Linked DNA regions of Arabidopsis thaliana. The protein of the gene in region 4 binds, or shares a complex with, the protein of the main gene of each other region. Each region holds a gene or a part of one and is shown on either strand. Other genes may lie near its edges. The genes, in order: VRN2, VEL1, MSI1 and FIE.

What was found.
Region 1: FIE (region 4) and VRN2 share a complex: the UniProt entries of both Arabidopsis thaliana proteins name them as parts of the plant homeodomain / polycomb repressive complex.
Region 2: FIE (region 4) and VEL1 share a complex: the UniProt entries of both Arabidopsis thaliana proteins name them as parts of the plant homeodomain / polycomb repressive complex.
Region 3: FIE (region 4) and MSI1 share a complex: the UniProt entries of both Arabidopsis thaliana proteins name them as parts of the plant homeodomain / polycomb repressive complex.

The regions. Positions count from the first base shown.
Region 1 is NC_003075.7:9,474,116-9,480,379, reverse strand, and holds VRN2 (VEFS-Box of polycomb protein), read right to left. Parts: upstream 4,312-6,264; 5' UTR 4,173-4,311; intron 3,840-4,172; 5' UTR 3,673-3,839; coding exon 3,547-3,672; exon of another isoform or gene 3,377-3,546; coding exon 3,321-3,376; intron 3,151-3,320; coding exon 3,083-3,150; intron 2,986-3,082; coding exon 2,933-2,985; coding exon of another isoform or gene 2,911-2,932; intron 2,716-2,910; coding exon 2,662-2,715; intron 2,579-2,661; coding exon 2,519-2,578; intron 2,437-2,518; coding exon 2,393-2,436; intron 2,295-2,392; coding exon 2,164-2,294; intron 2,001-2,163; coding exon 1,814-2,000; intron 1,697-1,813; coding exon 1,648-1,696; intron 1,453-1,647; coding exon 1,369-1,452; intron 1,272-1,368; coding exon 1,192-1,271; intron 1,074-1,191; coding exon 984-1,073; intron 896-983; coding exon 655-895; 3' UTR 502-654; downstream 1-501. Other genes in the region: AT4G16840 (uncharacterized protein), read right to left, coding at 5,015-5,031, 5,220-5,466; AT4G16835 (Tetratricopeptide repeat (TPR)-like superfamily protein), read right to left, coding at 5,577-5,987, 6,058-6,264. UniProt on the Arabidopsis thaliana protein: Polycomb group (PcG) protein. Plays a central role in vernalization by maintaining repressed the homeotic gene FLC, a floral repressor, after a cold treatment.
Region 2 is NC_003075.7:14,786,005-14,792,123, reverse strand, and holds VEL1 (vernalization5/VIN3-like protein), read left to right. Parts: upstream 1-1,622; 5' UTR 1,623-1,845; intron 1,846-1,978; 5' UTR 1,979-2,053; coding exon 2,054-2,072; intron 2,073-2,988; coding exon 2,989-3,384; intron 3,385-3,460; coding exon 3,461-4,090; intron 4,091-4,172; coding exon 4,173-5,272; 3' UTR 5,273-5,592; downstream 5,593-6,119. UniProt on the Arabidopsis thaliana protein: Maybe involved in both the vernalization and photoperiod pathways by regulating gene expression. Binds preferentially to dimethylated histone H3 'Lys-9' (H3K9me2).
Region 3 is NC_003076.8:23,554,099-23,558,778, reverse strand, and holds MSI1 (Transducin/WD40 repeat-like superfamily protein), read right to left. Parts: upstream 2,768-4,680; 5' UTR 2,668-2,767; coding exon 2,323-2,667; intron 2,220-2,322; coding exon 1,893-2,219; intron 1,728-1,892; coding exon 1,575-1,727; intron 1,438-1,574; coding exon 1,313-1,437; intron 1,201-1,312; coding exon 1,105-1,200; intron 1,014-1,104; coding exon 785-1,013; 3' UTR 534-784; downstream 1-533. Other genes in the region: FHIT (FRAGILE HISTIDINE TRIAD), read left to right, coding at 1-37, 140-238, 311-430; TTL (transthyretin-like protein), read left to right, coding at 2,918-3,199, 3,280-3,381, 3,467-3,623, 3,800-4,233. UniProt on the Arabidopsis thaliana protein: Core histone-binding subunit that may target chromatin assembly factors, chromatin remodeling factors and histone deacetylases to their histone substrates in a manner that is regulated by nucleosomal DNA.
Region 4 is NC_003074.8:7,248,268-7,254,445, forward strand, and holds FIE (Transducin/WD40 repeat-like superfamily protein), read right to left. Parts: upstream 4,186-6,178; 5' UTR 3,988-4,185; coding exon 3,811-3,987; intron 2,968-3,810; exon of another isoform or gene 2,780-2,967; coding exon 2,714-2,779; intron 2,615-2,713; coding exon 2,492-2,614; intron 2,405-2,491; coding exon 2,324-2,404; intron 2,232-2,323; coding exon 2,139-2,231; intron 2,045-2,138; coding exon 1,969-2,044; intron 1,863-1,968; coding exon 1,783-1,862; intron 1,691-1,782; coding exon 1,619-1,690; intron 1,534-1,618; coding exon 1,474-1,533; intron 1,389-1,473; coding exon 1,292-1,388; intron 1,190-1,291; coding exon 1,126-1,189; intron 1,044-1,125; coding exon 984-1,043; intron 858-983; coding exon 797-857; 3' UTR 612-796; downstream 1-611. Other genes in the region: AT3G20730 (PPR superfamily protein), read left to right, coding at 1-611. UniProt on the Arabidopsis thaliana protein: Polycomb group (PcG) protein. PcG proteins act by forming multiprotein complexes, which are required to maintain the transcriptionally repressive state of homeotic genes throughout development.

The DNA.
Region 1 (6,264 bases), on a different chromosome or scaffold from region 4:
GTGCATTGCGAAATCAAACAATTCGAGAATCAACTAGAAGCAATGAATCCAGAACTATGTTTTATTACCTAAACCATCAATCTTTTAACAAAAACGTAAATTCCGATTTCCGATCTACTGCTAAATCCCAACTCTTACGAGAGAACGGGAATAATTATGTTAGTCAATTTTATCACTTGACTCCGATCTAGTTTGAAATCGAGACAAACCTGAAAGATTCGAAAACACTGATTGGTGGTGTCAAAGCAAAATCGAAGAAGCTTGCTGCTTGTGAGGGATTCATTGAGAAAGAACAAGTCAAAATGGGGTTTTAAGCTTAATCACTGTGTCTTAATTAATTTCTTGATTTGTTTTCAATCTATTTGCACTTAATATATATATTTTTATGTTATGTACTTGATTAATATATAACTCCTATTTACTAGAGGTCTAGAGGAGCTTTTTCTCAAGTCAAAAAGAAAAATTAAGGAAACTTATCTTATTTTTCAGTCTTTAGTTATTAAGGAGAATCCATTTTTTTAACTAAAAATGTAATCAGTTGAATACACTAACAAATAAAATCTTTGTTTGCTCCTAAACAATTTTTTTAAGAAAGAAGAATAAGTTACAATCCGATAGATCGGTATCATCTAAACCGGAGTGTTTCCTATTTAATTACTTGTCTCTGCTGTTATTGTCCTTGTTGTCAACATTGTTCTTGTTTTTTATGTCATTCGGATGATCCACAATGTTATTGTTGTTGGTGTTTGAGTCACTGGGATGATCCACACTGTTGTTGTTGTTGTTAGTGACTGAGGTATTACGGCAATTCTCGAGGATGGTATTGCAGTTGTTGATGGTGGCTGAGTCGACAAGTCCATGGTTCCATAGTTTAATCAAAAACAATCTCCAACACCTGGAATTTTTTATTTTTCTTTCAGAAAAACGAAACAAAATTGATAGTGTAGTTATGTGTCTGTATATGTTTGGTGTACTTATATTACCAGAAGAGTGATGAGTAACAGTGCAACTCTTTCTCGTAAAATCTTGAAAATACTTCACATGCCCAAGAGATATGACCATCTGCTATAACCCTGCAAACATCAATCATAATTTGAGCTCAAAGTTCCATAAGCAGAATCATTTAGACAGGTATGGAATGTAAGACATAAGGTCTTTTTGTGTGTGTTCAAGTGTAAGAGAAGTAGTTACCTTTGTTTTCTTACAAACGAGTTCCAAAGATGCATGAATTGCTTTTCATCTTTATTCACATCCACAAAGTCATCAAGCATCTGCAGCTTTTTTAAGTTTCAAAAGCCATTAGCAAGTTACATCGTATACCATTTTCTGTTGCCTACTTAATGAACGCAGAAAGAAATCATGGAATACCTGGCGATCTTCAAAATCTGCAACATCGTCATCGACTTCATCCTCGCTATCCCGATCAGACATTACTTGCTCAAGCGCCATTGGCTTGTCACAAGAAACATGCAGTTTTTGGTTAGTGGCAATAAAACGGAGACAACATGGACATAATTTTTTTGCGTTGATACATACAGAATCAAAATACAAATTTAGATGAGAACAAACCAAGTATGCTTTGATAAGATATCATCATGAGCAATTTAAAGAAAATGCCTAAGAAGTAGGTGAAGGAACTTGGATCACCTGGACTCTGTGAGAATGATAGAATTGGCGTTTCTGAAGAAGTAGGTGGCTGGAAGAAATTTTCTCGGTTAATATGGCAGTACAGTAAACACTTATCCATAATAGGAAGAACATTTGTAACAACAGGTATGGTAATTATGATGACGGGGTGTCATGATGAACAAACCTTCTAGCCTCTGATCGCTCAGCAGATAACTTTCTTGTCTTAGTAGCAGGGACCACAGCTTCGGTTGTTAATATAACTTTAGCACCAGCGTCCAGAGAAGAGTGGGCTATGGCTGGTGGAATGTTGCTAGTCATCTCAAATTGTCCAGCAAGCTCTGTTGCCTCGGGATATCCTAAACCACGGTTTCCTGTAGCATGCCATTAATTTTGTACATCAGTTCTGGTAACATTACCCTCACAAGAAGAATGCGAGGAGAAGTACAAAAACTAAACAATCAGGACATTGTATCTTCTTCTGTAAAATGAAGTTCTAAGCCACAACGAATACCACAGAAGAAGATGTGATTTTACCATCATTCAGCAGGGCAATTCCATTTTCTGTGCCATTAGCTAAACTGGGTGAATCCAACGGTAAAAAGCATACTTTAAGTCTCCTGGTGTTATTTCTGCCACCTCTTTGTCTACGCTTACGAGGTTTCGAGCTGCAAAACATTGTGGTTGGATTTATAGAGAAGTACTGACAAGAAAAGCAAGGAGTTACTGCTATTAAGGTATTTAATCAAGGGGTTCTGAGAGTTACCAGAGAGAGAAGGGCTCAAATTTATCATCATCACTTCCTTCTTCCTAGTACAAATAAGGATGGAATATAAACCAAATTTTCACCAGCTATAGGATTTCCCAATTAACCAAGTTTAAAGTAACTGACCTCAAATATGAAGGAATTAAGTTTTACAGAAACATTAACTGTCTGGTATTCTTCCAAAAGCTACAATAGGAAAGACCCTTTTTTAACTATAACCTCATTACTAACGGCATAGGCAAAACAAGAAATTCCATAAAACCACATACCTTGAACTCAAATTCAAATAAATCATGAGATGAATTCAAATGAAATTGCAGCCCCTGCATAGACACAAGACAATGGATTGTAAGCTCGAACTGGAACATGTTTTCTCAGATAAGCACACACTCAGCAGTTTAAAAAGAGCAAGAAGACAAACAACAAACACAAAAATATGTAACCAAACAGTGAAAGTATATAGCATTAAACGGCAGTAGCATTTCACAGTGTTAGATATGAAAGGCCCCGGAAGAAACCTCAGTTGTAATAGTTGCCCACCTTGAAGCTACCACATAGCATAGAGCAAAATGGACAAGAACAATCCTCCCTAACTGCGTGACAATACAGAAAAAAATAGTAAATAACAAATCATCTAGAGAAACATAGACATTGACATCGAATTTTGTCGAAGAACAGAAAAAGACTAACCTTCAGTTCTTTGTAATGTATTATTACAATCCTTATAGTTGAAAACTACCATCCCAGTAGATCTTGACCTAAGCAAAACACAATTTTGTAAAATATAAGTGTATAGCATGAACAAAGAAGAAACCATTCATTATGTCCATATCTACTCAACAAAGATAAATAGTTCATCAGCTTCCATATTAGAAGTAAGATAAATAACATATCACTGTGGCAACTACATTCAAGAAGAAACGCATACTTTCTTTTGCGCTTTGCCCCAATTTTGTAGTTCAAGCATCTTGGCAGAAACGATGGCTGCAACAACAAACAACAAGTTCAAATAACATTAGGAGACAAAAGAAGCACACACTCGCCATGAGTCAGACCATAATCAGCTTAGCAAACTCAAACTATTAGTGGGTGATCTACACAGGAGATGAAAGATTACTAAGCTAAAATGATGAGAGAGGAAGGCCAAATCATACGTTGCCTAGAGAGCGAAGGTGAAAGATGTTATATAGTCGAACAGGTTTACAATATATCAAGAGATTCTCATCAGTTGAAATCACTTCCTCCGGTGAGGATTTCGCGCGACAATTCTGCCTACACATTCTTGTTCAAATACAATCAACAACGTCCAGAGCTGATTATGAAGTTAGTGCAAACTCTGAGGCCTCCCCTAAATTAGAATTTCCCTACGTCATATTGTTCAACTCCATGCAACAATTAGAACCGCCTCTTCTGCAATATGCTTATATAGAATGTCTTGTATTGAGGCCTGTGTAATAAAGAAAGCACAAGACTTTTTAAGCAACTCAGAGAGTTCATTCAAGACATAGACAAGTTTAGACGTATTGCAAAAATGAAAACTTTATCCAATGCCACTTAGCAGAATCATCATACTTATCAAATTAAAATAAAATTATGTGATCTTTTGAACCAAATGTGTATGAAGAAATCTTAAAAAAAATTCCATCGAGATCAACGATTCCAGAACTAGAATACGATTCCGGATCTACTGCAAAATTTCAAATCTTACAATATAATTGAAACAATTAGGGTTATCAATTGTTATTACTTGACTCCGATTTAATTTGAGATTGAGACAAACCTGAAAGCTGCGAAAACACCGATTGGCCGTGTAAGAGAGAGAGCAAGCAAAATTGAAGAAGCTTGATTGGGAGATATTCACTGAGAAAGAAAACAAGTAAAAATAAAACTTTGGGTTTCAAGTTTTTCTTCAAGTCTGGGCCTATGGCCCATATTTTAAACCGATAACCATTTAACACGTATTATTATTAGTCAATAAATAGTTGAACTTTTTTTTTAATTAATAAAATGAAAAGAAAATACAAGCAACTTGGACAGCTTAATGCCTTAATCCACTAATATTTCTAAAATTGTTTTTTTAACTCTACCATGGCAGTACAGTGAGTATTAGAGGATTTAAAACCATATTCACCATTGATCTATGCGTGGAGGATGAAGAAATTAAGAATCATTGATCTATACTTTTCACACTAAGAATAGAATCTTCATGACCTTCAATTTTGATTTCCATTTGTGTTTTACATAAATAGTCAGAGTTTAAAATAAATTACTGAATATGTATTTTGATTCCATTGTTTAACTCTAGTTGAGTTGGCTAGCTGAAACTCACAGGAACATATAATCCTAAGGTGGCATTAAGTTGAAACTAATCTTTTTTTCGACCAATAGAATGATTAATGGATAACCATCAGTGTTTTCTACTTGAGTTGTGTGATGTATATCACTGAAATATTAAACATACATTTCATGAAAACGAGAGATCCTTTTGTGTGTCTACAGAACCAAAAATTACAAATACGAATGGTTTGCGGCACAAAATCACCGGCGGTAAAAGAATTGTTTCCTTTCCCAAAACTGAATATGAGTTCCCATGGAGACAAGACAACATGTTGCTTTTGGAACTCAACTCCTTAACGCTGCTGACAAATTCCAAATCCATCACCGATTTAGTATTATATGAACAAATTGAAACCATAATTCAACACAAGATTCTAACGTTGCAGAGACATCTCGATCCTCATATCCATATGAGTCTTTGTAAAATCCCTAATTAAGTTTCACAGATCAATTATGGATTCATAGAGATTGAAACAATTTCTCGGCTTACCTGAGTAAGAGGAGAGCCAGAGGATTGCGACACAGAGAAGAAGAATGAGAGGAATCAAATGGATGACGTTTTCTGAAAATCTGAATCTTGATTTCTCTCTCTTCCCCGCTTGAGAATTCGGATCGTACCTAGGCAAAAGCAGCTCCACATCATCTTCCATTGCTGTAACACTCTGAGATCGAGGCGGAGACCTTGAAGTCGCCGGAAAATGATCCAAAACTCTAGAACCACTCGCTGATCTACGCATCTCTCTTCTTAACGGCAACTTGTCAAGTCAAAGGTCGAAACTTTACCACACAATAACGCATATAAATACAGTCAGGTTTGACCAATGAGAGAGTCAAAGCTCTTCTCTTTTCACCAGTAATCGCCACAAGAGCAAGACCCATCTTTGAAATGGTGAAACCTTGTGGTGTCTCTTACAATGATCTCTCGTTTCTCTATCTCCGAGATAAATTTGATTGCTTTATGACAATCACCACAGATTCTCAAGTTCTTGAACACTTGTATCTGTGAACCTTGAGGGAGTTTTATGCAACCAAATGCAACAGCTAACTTCTCGCTGTGCCATAACAATAGCTTCTCTTTTTGCTCTTCCTCTACATTGTGTAAAGCAAACTCTAGTTCCGGTTTGTATCCAGCTAGTTTCATCTTCTTCTCCAACTCCTTCAGTTTCTTGTGTATTGAGTCTAGTTCAGGGTGAATCCGATCACTTGATCTGAAATGGTGAACTTTGTTTCGTATTTCGATCCAACTGTATCCAGGTACCTGAAACAGTCAAGTAAATACATTAGAGTCTTGTAACTCGAATAAAGAATCGAACTTTGACTCGCTCTACCTTCACAACATTGCTCTCTTTCATTCTCTTGCGAACCCTTGCAACGTCTTCCCAACGATTCTTCGATGCGTAGATATTCGCAAGCTGCACATACCCGGCTGCATTTTGCGAGTTTAGCTGAAGCAGTTTCTCAGCTGCAAATTCAGCCAATTCCACATTCTTGTGCACTCTACAAGCCCCTAAGAGCGTCCCAAAGACCGCAGCATG
Region 2 (6,119 bases), on a different chromosome or scaffold from region 4:
AAAATTCTTGGACGCTTTGATTTTGGCTACACCGATTAAACATGTCAATGAAAAGTCAACGGGATTTTTGGCTTACACGTACGTAGGATCAAACAATTTTTTAGACATAACATATTTGTCATTATTTTGAATCTTAAGAGCTGTTAATTTGAAAAATTATAAACCTCACTTTTTCAATATAAACATGTATGTTATCCGTACTAATATTAGCTAGCTTTTACTATGGCATAGCTATAGATGATTGCTAACTAGGTTAGGTGGAGATTCAATAACAACAAATTAAACGATACGAAAGAAGCATGACCATGTACTTTACTTATCTTCATATGCTAGCTGTTGCTAATTATATGTGTTTCATTTATCGTCTTTACTAATCGCTAAGTCTAACGTACCATATATTACATATTTAGATCGTAAGTTTCATGTCCAGTACCTTGATTCATGTGACCATATCTGTATACTAGAAACAGTTCGTCTGACGTAACATATTTTGGCATAATAAAAATTATGGGTACACGATTGTTAACCGATGTAAATACAAATTAATTAAGAGATGTAGAACTTTTAGACAATAAACAAAACATAAACGAGAAATAAACTACAGATACAGTACTTGAAACTCTTGAACTCTTCGTGATAGCTAGAAATAGAAATCTGCGTCTTCACAGTTGACAAGAAACCTAGAAAAACAGATTAGGTGTGCTATTAACGGTCAGATTATTCTTATATAAGTTCGATATGCGTTCTCGAATATTATTAATTTAAGCTAAACTAGACCCAAAACTCCAAAAGAATCCAACATGTTTATCCATATCTACCTAAGACTACTTGTGATCCAAATAATTTTCGAAAAACAATATTTCTGTATTGATAAATAAAGGTCAAATTATCAATTACCACTAATATATGTTTTTAAAAAAAAATTTGCTACAATGTTTTTGCAGGTGTACTGTGTTAGGCACATGTCGTTTTATACCCTTCAAATCCAAGTTTTTCCCGTTTGTGATGATAGCCAATGCTCCCGTAACACACACGTATACAAATTTGCCAATGTCTATCTAACACGTGTTATTACGCAACATGCTTATTCCAAAATAAACAAATTAAGATGAGATAAGTGTCACATAATTATACAATATGAAATAATATCAATTGCATACCTATTTTATATACGTGAGTGACTCGTAGGAAGTAGAAATCCTCTTTGTTTTATTAGGAGCATATATCTTCTCAATTTACTTTCTTTTCTTAACTCTCACGAATCCTCTTTTAATATTTTCTTAACTCTCACGAAAACAATTCCTTTTAAACTTTGAAATTTCCTTAAAATTGAAAAGTTCCTATATATGAAACTGAAACATGATATAATTGACCATCTTATATTTCACTTTCTACTATAAAACAATTCAAACTGTAAAAAGAAGAAGAATTTACTAATCAATCTCAAAAAAGTAAAATAAAATTTAAACACACAGAAAATTACGAACGTTACGAAACCAAAATCACAGAAATAACGTGAACATAAAAAAAGGGTAAAAAATTAAAATAAACTCTTTTTTACCCTTTTTGGGGGCCCACCAGAAAACTGCATCTCTTATAGGCCTCTCTCTCTTCCATAGACCCATCTTCTTTCTCTTTCTCTCTTCCTATCTCACAGCGACAATCTCTATCTCTCTCTATCTCTTCTCCGCTCACAGCGAATCTCTCTCTCTCTCTCTCTCTCTCTCTCTTCTCCGGTGTATTCCGTTCTCCGGGAATTTCTCCGAAGAGGGAGAGAGGAAAAAAAAAACGTCCGATTCAATCTCTTCGTTGCTCGACGAATTTTTCTTAAGCTTTCCTTATTGGGTAACTTTCTTTCCTTTTATACTTTTTTCCCGATCTCTCTCTCTCTCCTCTGTTTTATTATTTCACTCCCAAATAAAAGTTTTTATTTTTTTCCATTGTTTTACCTAATTTTTATGTTTTCTTCACATCGCAGAGATTTGAAGATTCTGAGTGGTTGTTATGATAATGTGGGTTTGATTAGTTCTTCACACACAGCTTCTCTACGCTCATGGATTCTTCTCTCGATGGTATTCACTTTTAGATTTCTGGGTTTCATTGGTTGCTTAAGATTTATCGATATCCGTGTCTCTTTGTTTTTCCCTATAATAATGTTTCAACTTTCAAAAATAAATAAATAGTCTTACTTCTCTTTGTTTTTAGCTTTGATGATGAATGATGAAGCTTTGGATTCTCAAATTTGTGTTTATTTTATTCAATTGTTTTCGAAAGTTGGAGACTTTATATACTTTTTACTAAGTTGCTACTGAGTTTAGATTACTAATCTTTCTATTTTCTATTGCAAGTTTTATGTTTTCTAATTGGTGATTATTCTAAATGGTGGGTCTTTACTTTTTTTTTGGTTGATTGGTTCTAACTTCATATTCTTCTGTGTATGTGTGTGTGTGTGTTTCTTCCACTATCATTGGTTTGATGAATTCTGTTTTTTAATTTAATCGTGCGTCAGAAGACTATATGACTTTTGTTCTGTGTATAGAATAAGATTCCATGATTGATGAATGTGGGTTCTGTTACCTAAAAGAATCATGCTTTCATTCTTTGCTTTGGATCTTTGGTTTCAGAATCATCTTGAAGAGCATTGATCTTTCCTTTGTCATGTTGTTTGGTTCTCTCTGATTCTTTGATGTCTATTGACCCAACCTTATCAACATTGTTGTCCTGTGGTGGTTGTTGAACTATCTTTGTTTTTAGATGAATAAAGTGTTTTAGTTTTCAGTATTCTAAATTAGCTTTGTGTTTGTATTTATTTGAATTTGGAATCATTCTTCTTAGTTTTGGTAAACAAGAAGATCAGACACAAGTTTCTTTGGTACATTCTTTTATTAGTCTTGGATAGTTTTGTGTGTTTCTGGTTAAGACATTGTTGTTCTCCATTGCCTTCACTTTGAGTTCACATAATTTGACTTCCTTTTCTTCTATATGCAGGAGCTGCAGGTGACTCATCGAAATGCAGTGAAATGAGTGTTGATGAGAAGAGACAGCTTGTTTATGAACTGTCGAAGCAATCACATCTAGCTGCTGAGGTCTTGCAGGCATGGAGCCGCCAAGAGATTCTACAGATCTTATGCGCAGAAATGGGAAAAGAAAGGAAGTATACTGGTTTGACCAAAGTCAAGATCATCGAGACCCTTTTGAAAATTGTATCTGAGAAAAACTCTGGAGAGTGTGAAGGGAAGAAGAGAGATTCTGATTGTTTGCCTATTCAGAGAAACACTAAGAGACAAAGGAAGGTTGATAATCCTTCTCGGTATGTGATTCCAGCAACCAACATTGTAACAAGCAACAATGCCTCAGGGAGCTGCAGCTCGGTTAATACTAAAGGTAAACAGTCTTCTTTTTTTGGTTCAAAGTTATCAACCTTTTTGTACATACTAACCCGGAAATAGAATTTGGTCAGGTGAGAGTACTACCATCTACTGCAAAAATTTGGCTTGTCGTGCTGTACTGAGACAGGAAGACTCGTTTTGCAGAAGGTGTTCATGTTGCATCTGTCGTAAGTATGATGATAACAAAGATCCTAGTCTCTGGTTAACATGTAGCTCAGATCCTCCATTTGAGGGTGAGTCTTGCGGATTCTCGTGTCATCTTGAATGTGCTTTCAACACTGAAAAATCCGGTCTTGGAAAAGACAAGCAAAGTGAGGGATGCTGCTTCTATTGTGTCTCTTGCGGTAAAGCAAACAGTTTGCTTGAATGCTGGAAGAAGCAATTGACGATTGCTAAAGAAACCAGAAGGGTAGAAGTGCTTTGTTACCGTCTTTTCTTAGTCCAGAAACTATTGAAGAGCTCAACTAAATACCGAAATCTGTGTGAGGTTGTGGATGAAGCTGTCAAGACTCTTGAAGCTGATGTGGGTCCTCTCACTGGTCTTCCTATGAAAATGGGTAGAGGAATTGTAAACAGACTTCATTCGGGACCCGATGTGCAGAAACTTTGCTCTTCTGCTCTTGAATCTCTTGAAACTATAGCAACTACACCTCCTGATGTTGCTGCATTACCTTCACCTCGCAGCTCCAAGATGCAGCAAGGTCAGAACTTTTGTACCCTTCAATGATTGAGTAATATATTAAGTTTGTTGAATAATGTTGATTCTCTGATTTTGTTTCGTAGATTGTTCTTATGTATTGAGCAATGAGATATCTGCAGATACAGCAACCACAGGATCAACCAAGATCAGGTTCGAGGATGTAAACGCGACTTCACTTACAGTGGTTCTCGCCTCTAATGAAATTCCCTCACCTCCAAACATCGTTCACTACAGTATTTGGCATCGTAAGGTACCAGAAAAAGATTACCCGGAGAAATCGACTTGCACATTGTTTATTCCAAACACAAGATTTGTTGTCTCTGGATTAGCTCCAGCTTCTGAGTACTGCTTCAAAGTTGTGTCCTATAGTGGAACCAGAGAAATGGGCGTTGATGAAATCAATGTTTTGACACGTAGCGCTGAAGAAGGAGCGAATTGCTCTTCGGCAGTGGAAAGAAGCGTAAGCCCTCTCACAAATTGCAGCACATTGTCTTCTAATCCTTCTTCTGTTGAAGCTGAGTCCAACAACGATTACATTGTCCCAAAGAAGCCATCTTCAAAGAACGAAGACAACAATTCTCCTTCAGTCGATGAAAGTGCTGCGAAAAGGATGAAGAGGACAACCGACTCAGACATTGTACAGATTGAGAAGGACGTTGAGCAGATTGTGTTGTTGGATGATGAAGAACAAGAAGCTGTTCTGGATAAGACGGAATCTGAAACTCCAGTCGTGGTTACTACGAAAAGTCTTGTTGGTAATCGAAACAGTTCAGATGCGAGTTTGCCAATTACTCCCTTCAGGTCAGATGAAATCAAGAACCGTCAAGCTAGAATCGAAATATCGATGAAAGACAACTGTAACAACGGTGATCATTCAGCGAATGGAGGAACAGAAAGTGGATTAGAGCATTGTGTGAAGATCATAAGACAACTCGAGTGTTCAGGACATATCGATAAGAATTTCAGACAGAAGTTTCTGACTTGGTATAGCTTGAGAGCAACGTCACAAGAGATTAGAGTTGTGAAGATATTCATTGATACATTTATTGATGATCCCATGGCTTTGGCTGAGCAGCTCATTGATACTTTCGACGACCGTGTTTCGATAAAGCGTTCTGCGGTTGGTGGTAGCGGTGCGTCTGCAGTTGTTCCATCTGGATTCTGTATGAAGTTGTGGCATTAGAGAATGGGAACTTGTGCTCTGTTTTTTTCAAGTCATTTTCAAAACGTTATTCTAATTATTGGGAAATTTGCATTATTGGAACATTTCCATGCAAGAACAGTAGTACTGTTGCTATCGAATAGATCGTCTTTGTCGGATTATTTATTTATTTTTAGTGGATTTGATTCCATTTATAATTTAGTAATTAGTCCTAGACTGAATTATTCTTATTTCGTTGACTATTGGATTATGTTATTTTATCAAGTAGGTTATGAAAATGACCATTTCTTTGTATGAAGCTGTGAGAACAGTGAAGATTTTAAGTTCTTTCGAAATTAAATTTGTTTAAACTTTATATTTTGTAAATAAAGCTATCCAACTTTATTGGAATTCGAAAACTGCAGTAACAAATGCAACAAACTAATACGTCATCGTCATTCATCATCACATAAAGGTTTTTGGTTTGATTATGGGTTCCATTAGTTGATTTAAGCACAAAGAGGTTGCAGAGACACTTTGTTTGTTTTCTCTAATATATACATCACATTTGTTTGTTTGTATACGTACATTCATAACAACAAGCAATGAAAGTATATATATAGTTTTATTGGGGTTCGTATCAAACAGATGTCAAAAAGCAGAACTAGTGTTGTGTTGAATTTTCCAAGCATCATCTCTTTGGCTTCATTGATCTTAGAAGCACGATAGTGACTTTCTCCAGCGTTCGGGTGGTTTGCAACAATCACTCTACATGTCTACTCTCTACTATCCTAAACTAGACGAACCACAGACTAAGTACAAATTATGAGGTTTGATCTCAAGTGTGTTGAACCAAATACCTCTGACATATAGTAACCTGCAATGCAAC
Region 3 (4,680 bases), on a different chromosome or scaffold from region 4:
CTTCCATAATGCGTCTTCTCTCACATTAGCCATCCAAGTAAACTAAACATCTCCTTTCTTTCGTCATTGTTTCTTGCGTCTAAATCTTAATGGATTGGAATTGAAACGATCTAACTTTGGTTTCATGAAAATGGCTTAGGATGGCCCTCAAGCGGGACAGACTGTTCCCCATGTACACATTCATATCTTGCCTCGTAAAGGTGGTGACTTTGAGAAGAATGATGAAATCTATGATGCTGTAAGTTGTTGCATTTTGATCACATTCCTAGCTTTGGTTTTATACAAATCTTATGGTGGTATCTTCTTGTAGCTTGATGAGAAGGAGAAGGAACTGAAGCAGAAGCTTGATCTAGATAAAGACCGGGTTGATAGGAGCATTCAGGAGATGGCTGACGAGGCTTCCCAATACAGATCTCTTTTCGATTGCTAGTTATCATTTATCAATATCAAATCAAACCAAGCTATCCAGTAGCTTTAATAAGGACCATTGTGACAAGTGACTTTCAGTTTGAAATTTTATGTCAGAGACTTTGATTCAAATTTGTAATTTCTTTCTAATGTCGCCCAATCTGGGTATAAACTAAGAGTTATAGCTTTGGTTGACACTACTTAGTGAGATTAGAATCAACTCCTTCATGTTATAAAGAAAAATTCCCACTTGCTACCATCCTCTCATGCCTCATTTTACACAATGAACACTAAATACTTGAACTAAACAATAGCAGAGATGTATAAATAAATACTGTCCCATAAGATCAGTGCGCTTTGGATACTAAATAACAAGCTAAGAAGCTTTTGATGGTTCTTCCCCTGGAGCGTCATCCTCATCATGATAGATGTTTTCAGCCATTTGCCATATTTGGAGTATGTTGTCCTCAGCAACACTGGAAATAACCCAATCTTCACAAGGGTTCCACGAGAAATCTGAAATTTTGCTAGTGTGACCACCGTGAATAAACAGCAGCTCAGGTGGGCCGTCTTCTGCGTCCTCCACTGTCTGTTCCTCATCGATCCTATCATAAGACACCCTCAAACATATCAATATTGCTCCTCCATGACCATACATGAACATTAAACTAAAGAACTAAAGTCTACGGCCCAAACCTGCTAAGGTCCCAAACCATAAGTCTTCTACCAAGGCAACATGAAGCTAAAATAGTCTCGTTCTTTGGGTTCCAACCAACTTGAAAAACCTCCTCTCTGGAGATCAAGCACATAATTAAGGTTAGTGATGTTGCTGTAACTTGTAAATACTTCTTAGTAACACAAAATCCATCTCAAAGCGGCAATATTTATGGCGTATCATTCTTACTTGTGGCTATCAAATGTGTGAAGAGCGGTGCTTAGCTTCCGTAGATCGAATAATTTAACAGTCTTGTCAGTTGATCCTGTTGCCACAACCCACTCATTAAATGGATTGAAGGCTAAGCAGTTAACCTAAGGCATTTCAAACAACTCAACAATTAGCAAATACATACGAGGCAATATGATTCAATGGTTTTTAGTGTTAAGGAAAGCAAGCTTAAAAACCAGAAGTATTATCTGTATCTAAAGCTAATATATTGCAAACTCACCTCCATCGAATGAGCAACCACAGACTGTACTGGTTTACTGGCAGATGGAGAACGCAGATCCCATATGAGAAGGTATTGGTCATCTCCAACTGATCCAAACAGGTACTCATGTCTCAGATGCCATGCAACATCTTCCACAACCCCTTCATGAGCCTTAAGTTCAGAAAATAATCATCAGCAAGGAAAACACAGAAACCAACCTGAATATCTATCTATGAGCTTTCATAAGTGTAACTGATTCCGTTAAGTGGGTGCAATTCCTTCCTTTCTAGATGATACAAAACAAAACTAAAAACGAATAGAAATCCAAAGCATTACCTTAAAAATCTGCTGAGCGTCCAGAGATTTGTTTTTAGGAGTAGCGTTAATATCCCACAAGCAGATCTGAGCATCATCAGAGCCACTAAGCAAATGACCCTGCTTGAACTTACTCCAAGAGAGACCATATCCCTCAGAGCTGTGACCTCTAAGCTTTAAATCAGGATTACAAGCCCCATCAAGAGGAGGCTTAGATGGATGCTTACTGTAATCGAAAACATAGACCTCCGCATTAACTGTCTTGGTAGCAATTATGAAAGGGTTTTGAGGCATATAGCGAGCTCGATTAACCTCACCATCATGATTTATCTGCTGGATAATTTGTACCTACACAAGCAATCAAACTAACATTTATCATCCTTTACCTCGTTATAACCCTAGAATCAAATCTAGAAAGTTGGAAATGAGAAACAAAAATAAAAAATCGCACCTTTCCAGTTGCACAGCCAAAGCCACCAAATTCAGAGCGGTCATCATCGTACTGACGAGCTTCACTCTCGGTATCGTCAAGAGGAAGCTGAACTTGGGCTAGCATCAAGTAATTGGGCTCGCTCTCGGAGGTATGGGTACCGAGAATCATCTTCTGAACGGAGTAGTCTTTACCGGAAGGTTCTTCACGGTCAGGAAGCCATTCAACAGTAAGTGAAGGCCACTCGAGAGCGTGAGTAATAACGAGATCGTAGAGGAAAGGAGTGTTCTTCTTCCAGATCTTGTACTCTTCATTGATTAGTCGCTCCTCGATCTCACCTCGCATTTCCTCTTCGTCTTTCCCCATATCGGCGATGTCTTTGTTATTCCCGCCACAAGAACAAGGCAAAACCCTAAAACAGATCTCTTTACAAATTGTAAGAAACTTCTCGCTTCTGTTTCTGAATAATTCACATATAGAAGATGATGAATAAAAAAAGGAAGAAGATAAAGAAAAGGCCCATTTTTGAAAAGCCCGTTTATGAAAAGGCCCAATTAGATGACTTTTGATCTTACACCAGTCAACAGAAGTGAGGATTGGAGAAAAGAGAGAAAAAATGGCGATGGAGATCGGAGAAGATGAATGGAAGGTTTGCTGTGGAAGCTCCGAATTCGCGAAGCAGATGTCTACGTCTGGACCGTTAACTTCTCAAGAAGCAATATATACTGCAAGAGACATCTGGTTCAACCAAGTTAATGTGACAGATTGGCTTGAAGCTTTCTCTGCTCATCCTCAGATTGGGAATACTCCTTCACCTTCTATCAACTCCGATTTTGCTCGTCGGAGCGTATCAGAACAGTCAACCGCCTTTGCCACAACTTCTGCTTCTGCTTTACAGGTGATGGATCTTCACTTTTTTTTTCCTTCATCTCTTCAGTGATTTCTTCTTCTGATGATCAATTGTTTTCAATTTCTTAGGAGCTTGCCGAATGGAATGTACTTTACAAAAAGAAGTTTGGCTTTATCTTCATTATTTGCGCTTCTGGCAGGACTCACGCTGAGATGCTCCATGCGTTAAAGGTCAACTTTTGCATTTCCAAATCAGTTTTTGTTGAGTGTGAGTGAATGAGAAAGTTACATATTCATCAAATCGTCTCTTTTTCAGGAAAGGTATGAAAATAGGCCAATAGTGGAGCTTGAGATTGCTGCTATGGAACAAATGAAAATAACAGAGCTACGAATGGCAAAGCTGTTCTCCGATAAGGCTAAAGTTATATCAGAAACTGACAGCTCTAGCTCTCCTGTTTCAACAAAACCTCAAGGTATATTGATGATTTACCAAATCTTTTCCTTGTCAAAGTTTTGTGTTTGACTGTGTGGGTTTGAACCTGTTAGGATTCAGTATGATATCAAGTATGTGTCTTTTGGAATACAAGGATTTACCCTTATGGCTATCTTTGTTATCTGTGTGACCTTTTCTACTTTCTCGCTTTGTAAGATCGTCTGAGAATCATTGGAGGGCATTTGAATGTTGCAGCTGAAGCAAAAGCTCCCAAGAGAAGTAGGCCACCGATCACGACTCATGTCTTAGACGTCTCACGTGGTGCTCCAGCTGCAGGTGTTGAAGTGCACTTAGAAGTGTGGAGTGGTACTACCGGTCCTTCCTTTGTTCATGGAGGTGGTGGGGTCTGGTCCAGTGTGGGCACATCAGCTACTGATAGAGATGGGCGCAGTGGGCCACTGATGGATTTGGTTGACGCTTTGAATCCAGGGACATATAGGATTAGCTTCGACACTGCAAAGTATTCCCCAGGCTGCTTCTTTCCCTATGTTTCCATTGTATTTCAGGTTACAGAATCACAGAAATGGGAGCATTTCCATGTCCCACTGTTGCTTGCACCTTTTTCTTTCTCCACATACCGTGGGAGCTAGAGCTATGCTACTGCTGTCTGCGGCACCAACTTTCCAACACATTTTGTTTTGGTTGTACCACTACGGGAACATGTATCAAAATTGCTATGAAATGAAGTCTTTATTCGACATGTATAAAAATTGCTATGAAATAATGTCTATTCGAGTATTTATTTGGATTTGTAGTTCTGTAGAACAAACAATGAATTAGCGAAAATACGAGCTTTGATCTAGACTCATTGTGAGTAGGACAACGATAGTATAGATTACCATGTTAAACATCTTGGGAGATTCTATACCTTTGTACAAAATGGTCGATCACAAAACAAGCCTCTAAAACTGTTGTGTGTTTTAATCTAGACTCATAGCCAGCAGGACAATAATAGTCTAGATTAAGACATCTTGGTCGATTCCAAACCTTTGCGCAAAATGTCAAAACAAAACAGCTTCTACTGGTATACTTTACAC
Region 4 (6,178 bases):
ATGCAAAGTCTGGGGAAATCGAGGATGCAGTCCTGGCTTTCGAAGAGATGAAAGAGAAAGATGTGAGATCATGGACCTCTTTGATTGCAGGATATGGAAGACATGGGAATTTTGAGAAAGCAATTGATCTTTATAACAGAATGGAGCATGAAAGGATCAAACCGAATGACGTTACATTTCTTTCTCTCCTCTCTGCTTGTAGTCATACAGGACAAACCGAACTAGGCTGGAAGATTTACGACACAATGATCAACAAGCACGGAATCGAAGCTCGAGAAGAGCACTTATCTTGCATCATAGATATGCTTGCGCGCAGTGGCTACTTGGAAGAAGCTTATGCACTGATAAGAAGTAAAGAGGGTATTGTAAGTCTTAGCTCATCAACATGGGGAGCTTTTCTTGATGCATGCAGGCGCCATGGGAATGTGCAGCTCAGTAAAGTAGCAGCCACGCAGCTTCTGAGTATGGAACCGAGGAAACCAGTCAATTACATCAATTTGGCCAGTGTGTATGCAGCTAATGGAGCATGGGACAATGCTTTGAATACTAGAAAGCTTATGAAAGAGAGTGGTTCCTGCAATAAAGCTCCAGGATACAGCCTTGTGTATTGAACTAAGAGAATAAGACAAAATCTCCAGAAAGGGTATACACTGTGGTACAAGGGTGGACGTTAACAAGGCTACAAAGAGCATCTCAAGGTCTCAGGGAGTAGCAACATGATCAGAATTACAATAAAAGAATGGATATCTCATTTCTTCGCACTCCTAATTCATCAATTCCTACAAGACTCAGACCGCTACTTGGTAATCACGTCCCAGCGCCATATAGTCCCGTCCTCGCAGCAAGCAAGAATCGTGCTACAATCCCATGGAAGAAACAGTGTGTCAGAATCCAAAGTTTGGTTTGATTTACAGTAACTATTGAGTCATAAATAACATTAAGAAATTTTCACTGCATTGGTGAGAGAGAAGATGGATTTATACCTTCCATCGACAGACATGGCTGTTTGCCTGATTACAGACTTTGATTGATTGTGTGATAACCTATATGGCAACAGAAAATCATGTCAAGACTAAAACATTTCTTAAAGATCAAACATTGTATCTGAATCCGAAACTAACTTACTTTGTAATCAAAACAGGAGGGCAACTTTTCAAATCCCAGACATAAACCTTTCCTTCCTGATTACCTGATAACAAACCAGCGAGTAATTTGTCACAAAATGAATAAGAAAAGTTGAAGTAATCTATCTATAGAATGCAAATTTGTATCTAACGAGCTCTCTGATTACCTATCGCAACAGAACTTAAATGGAGGTCACAAGAAAACTTGATAAACCAAATATCACACATTGGAACCGGGTATCTTAATAGAACATCTGAAGCTCCCTGCAAACCACAAAAAGTTCAACTGTAAATATATGTGATGAAATGAATGATTATGTTGTGTTTGGAGCAACAATGAGATCCTAACCTCGCCAGGAGAATTCTCTTTCAGTTGTGGTTCCCACAACAGGATCTCGTTGTCCACACTCTAAAATCCGATAGAACAACACAAGAGTAAAGTGTTTTAACAGTACACCAAATGAATTAATCTTAACCATCATTGACTTACTAACCTTTGAGAGGATAAAATCACCAAACCAACGGTTACAATCTACATAATTTGTATGAATGGAAGCTGTAAATACCTACATATAGAAGTAATGTTATTTACAAAGGCCATCACCAATATTTGTATGTCACTTGTTGTTACAAGACAAGGCTAAAACAAAATACTTACAGGGAATTGGACAAATTTTGTGGGGAATTTTGATGGATCATCAGTCCATGTGAATGACTTCTCGACGTACGTCCAAAACTCTATAGACAGCCAAAGAATAAGAAGATCATACAAACGAACCACAAGCCATTTTTCTCAAAAGGTTTTTTAAAATGGAAGTTTATTACAATATGTGCTCGATCGTACCTTTCATTGACCATATTTTAATAGTGGTGTCCATACCACAACTAGCAAAGCGGTAAATATCAGACGGATGAAAATCCTACAATTTTCAAAATAAGATGGTTCCCCTTAACATTGTCTCTATATATTATTGTAGAAAACTAACTGAATTAGATAAAACAATATTGGCTCACCACACTTAGAACTTCATAGCGATGACCTCCAGCTCCAGCAAATATCAAAATACATATCCCAGTTTCAACATTCCACAAACGAACAGATTCATCCTTATTCAATTAAAACGTAACAGCTCTTAATCACCAACAAATAAAAAAGAAGTCAGGATACTTTAGGAAGAAAAGAAAGCCAAGAGATATACCTTGCTAGCAGTAATCACAAGTTGAGGTTTTAAAGGTTGTGTCCTGATTTCGTTCACTGAATCTCCATGACCCACAAGACTCTGCACATTTGCGAGCACAGATTATACAAGAAAGATATAGAATCATTTGCTAGGATACATAGAACATCCATAAAAATGCAATAATACCTTATGAATCGTTTCACTGTTGACGTCAATGACTCGGATTATACCTTTTACTCCTCCAGCCGCAACATATGGGTTCCCATTAACGCCACACGCCCAACTTACCGTGTAAAACGACTCTTCCTTCTGCTCTCCAGAGGACATAGACAAAATATAACCAAATGGCCTCAGTGAAACATCACTTACTTTAATTTGATGGAAAAGCTAATATGTATGCTTCCTTACATCTTCATCAGCATAGGATTGCAATGCTGATATGGCACCATCTCCGAGACAATTGTACAGAGTAATCTACATAATAAGAGATACACCAATGGCAGTAATGAGATTCATGAACTAGCTAAGTAAAGGTTAAATGAAAGAACCCCTTGGTTAAAGCTTCTATGAGAAACTCAAATATTTCTAACTAGTAAATCATTCAATTTAAAATCCAACGGAAACTAGGAAAGATGAAAAAAACTACAACTAGTTAAGATAAGTATATTGAGACTGAGCAACCAAACAACCTTAGTGCGGAAACTGTTAGGCACACAACATTATAAAGAGAATGAGACCTAACCAAGTGTGTAAGATTACAAGTTAACTCTACTCATTGCCGATTGGACCCCAAGGACTTTCACATGGTATCAAAGCCCACTAATCCCAAATGCTCGACCGAAGACGATTACAAATTAACTCCACTCATTACCGATTGGTTTTTCATGGAACCCGAGAACTTTACGCGGTATCAGAGCCTACTAAGCCCAAACGGGTATCCGATCGATGTTTCGACGAATACAAATGAGCCTAAAGAGCCACTATCAGGTACATTCGGAACCCACATTGAAAACAAAATAGAGCAGTCTAATGTATAAGGTAATGACTTCACTCTATCTAGTTTCAAAATTAGAAAAAAAAATAACTTCCACAAAATCTCCAATACAGGAAAGCTTAAACTAAACGCTTCATAACTCACTTGATGACCGTTTCAAAAGGAACCTCCTTAGATAAGCAGACTAACAACATCAACCAAAGTTTCAATTTTTTTTAGAACAGAATGCAAATCAAGTGTATAAGGTAATGAGTTCACTTTAAATTAGAAAACAAAAACCATATCTTCCACAAAATCTCCAAAACCAGAAAGTTTGAACTAAATGTTACATAATCTTAGACTATAGCATCAAGCAAAGTTTCAATCTTTTAATCTCACTAAAGGCTAGAAATCAGAATCCAAAATCAAACACAAAAGGAAAGGCCTTAATGTTACAATCAATCTGAATCAAAACCTAAACAGACCCAGAATTGAAAACAGTGATTTCGAATTGAAAGTCGAGATCTTTTACCCGATTTCCACCAGCGGTAACGAAGACATCGAAGAAACGAGCATCAAGGAAGTTGAAAACAACAGCATACAAAGGTTTCTTCCCTTCCTGAATCCTATTCGTCACTTTGTACGATTTCTTATTCGATGGAGTCAAAGACCCAACTATTGACTCGTTCCCTAAGGTTATCTTCGACATTCGATATTCGAAATCTCTCTCTCTGTCTGACTCTCGCACACTAATCTAAGCTCACAAGTCTCTCATGCAACAACAACTGGTGTTTTGTAATTTTCGATTAGACACAGATTCACAGGTTATTAAAATTACTGTAACCGTAGATTTTGACCTCACGACAAACTTTTATTTTGGACCTGACACAACACACAACTCACCTTTTAGAAAAAAATGGTAAGAAAAATCAAATTTAACGTTTTTTAATAGGACTTAGAATTAAACGTTACGATGAAAAATAAATATATTCTTTGATTGATACGATCGAAGTTTACCTATTTGTCTTTCTTTTTTTTCAAAGGAATATTATAGATTTGATTGAAATTTTCTGAAAGTAGTAATTATTTAATATGTAATCTTATATTATTGACCATTCATTACTATTAGTTTTACTAAAAATGGTTAAATGATATAAGGTTTGGATTTAAATGGTATCACGTTTTTATGTTTTGAAAACATTATTTTGTCAATTACATACATTTCTCAATTTTATGTAATTCTTTTCTTCCACCCAAATTTTACATATTTTTTTACCTTTTTCTCAAATTTGATACTCAATAGCTACAATTCCAACAGTACCACATATTTTTTCCATCAAGTTTACTGTATGCAAATATGGATCATTTCTTCTGGACTACACCTCCGAGAGTTTATATATCATAGTATCCATGGGTAATACGATACTTATGGAAAGTTTTATAAGATTTACTTGTAATATTGCATTAAGCCAAAATGGAGGAACGAACTTGGCTCTATAATCGACCATAGAAGTGCTCTGTTTTATTTAAAGCTTACTTTCATCTCTTACCTTAAGTTTTTATTTTATTTTCTTGCACTTTAACTAAAATAGATTTTAGATACACCAAAACAAAATCAAGATCACCGATATAAGAATTAAAAAACATAGATGCAACAACTAATAGACAAACCATAACCAATTTGAAAATAGAAAGTGTGCTAAGTAGGTTTGATGTCCGCCTATTTGAAGTTGTAAATAAATTGATTTAACATTTTATCCTCTCACTGTTGTTATTTACCATGATATCTCTTCGTTGAGAGCATTTTACTTATTTAAAATGTATTTAATGGATTTTTAAAGGGTTTATTTGAATACTTTGGAATACTTTTCCAAATAAGTCACATTATCAAAAAAGAAAATTAGAAGTTCACTATTTGGATATAACGATTTGAACATCTCCAAACAAGATAATCAAGGTCCAAACTTTGAGAAACTCATCGATAACGACAAAATTTGCGATAACGACAAAATTTACGATAGAGTCCAATCAATGTTTATAGGAAAGGAAGACAAAAAAATACATGGTTATAGTTTATTTTAATATATGTTGAATGTAATATATGAAATTATAGTGCTTTAATTATAATTTGAAATAATCAGTTTACAACGGTACAAATTATATAATTTAAACAAAAAAATAGTTTAAAGCAATTATGGATAATTTTCGAGTGGTATTGTAGAATATCACGTGTGGAAAACACATTTGTTCAAAAAAATTTAGAGATCTATAGAACCTCTAGTTTTAAACCCTAGGAGTAAACAAGTATTGAAAGCTTTTGTGGTTGTTGTGTACTTGCTCGCTTCCTCGTACAACTCTTATAGGAAAATAGCATTTCTCCTAGCACTAAGTTCTGGAAGCGAATGCTCCCAAAATCTCACAACTAATTCACAATTGCTCCTATAGGATCGAATAATACGTGAAAACTGAACTGGTATCCGAGTAAAAACCAAACTAAACACATTACTCTTCTAATTGTACCCGATAATTTTTTATTCTTTCCATTCTAATTTTTTTATTCGATTAAATTGAAATTTTCCGGATATTTTGGATATTTTTCAATAGTTTGAGAATCTAAGTAAAAATATTTGAATTGAACAATATCCAAAAAAATGCACTTTATAATTACCACCTTTGTACCAATCCTATTATAAATTCAAGTAATCAATATATAAAAACAAAATTGTACTAATAAACGATGACTAGAAGAAAAAAATCTAGCATCTATATAAAGTATAAAACCGACCGAAAATTCTAGCCGTAGATTTAAAACGAAAAAGTTTCTGATAAAAAATGATTAAAAATTAAGCAGTAAAATCTATCCATTTCATATTATCAAATTCCCTACAAAAGAAAAGTGT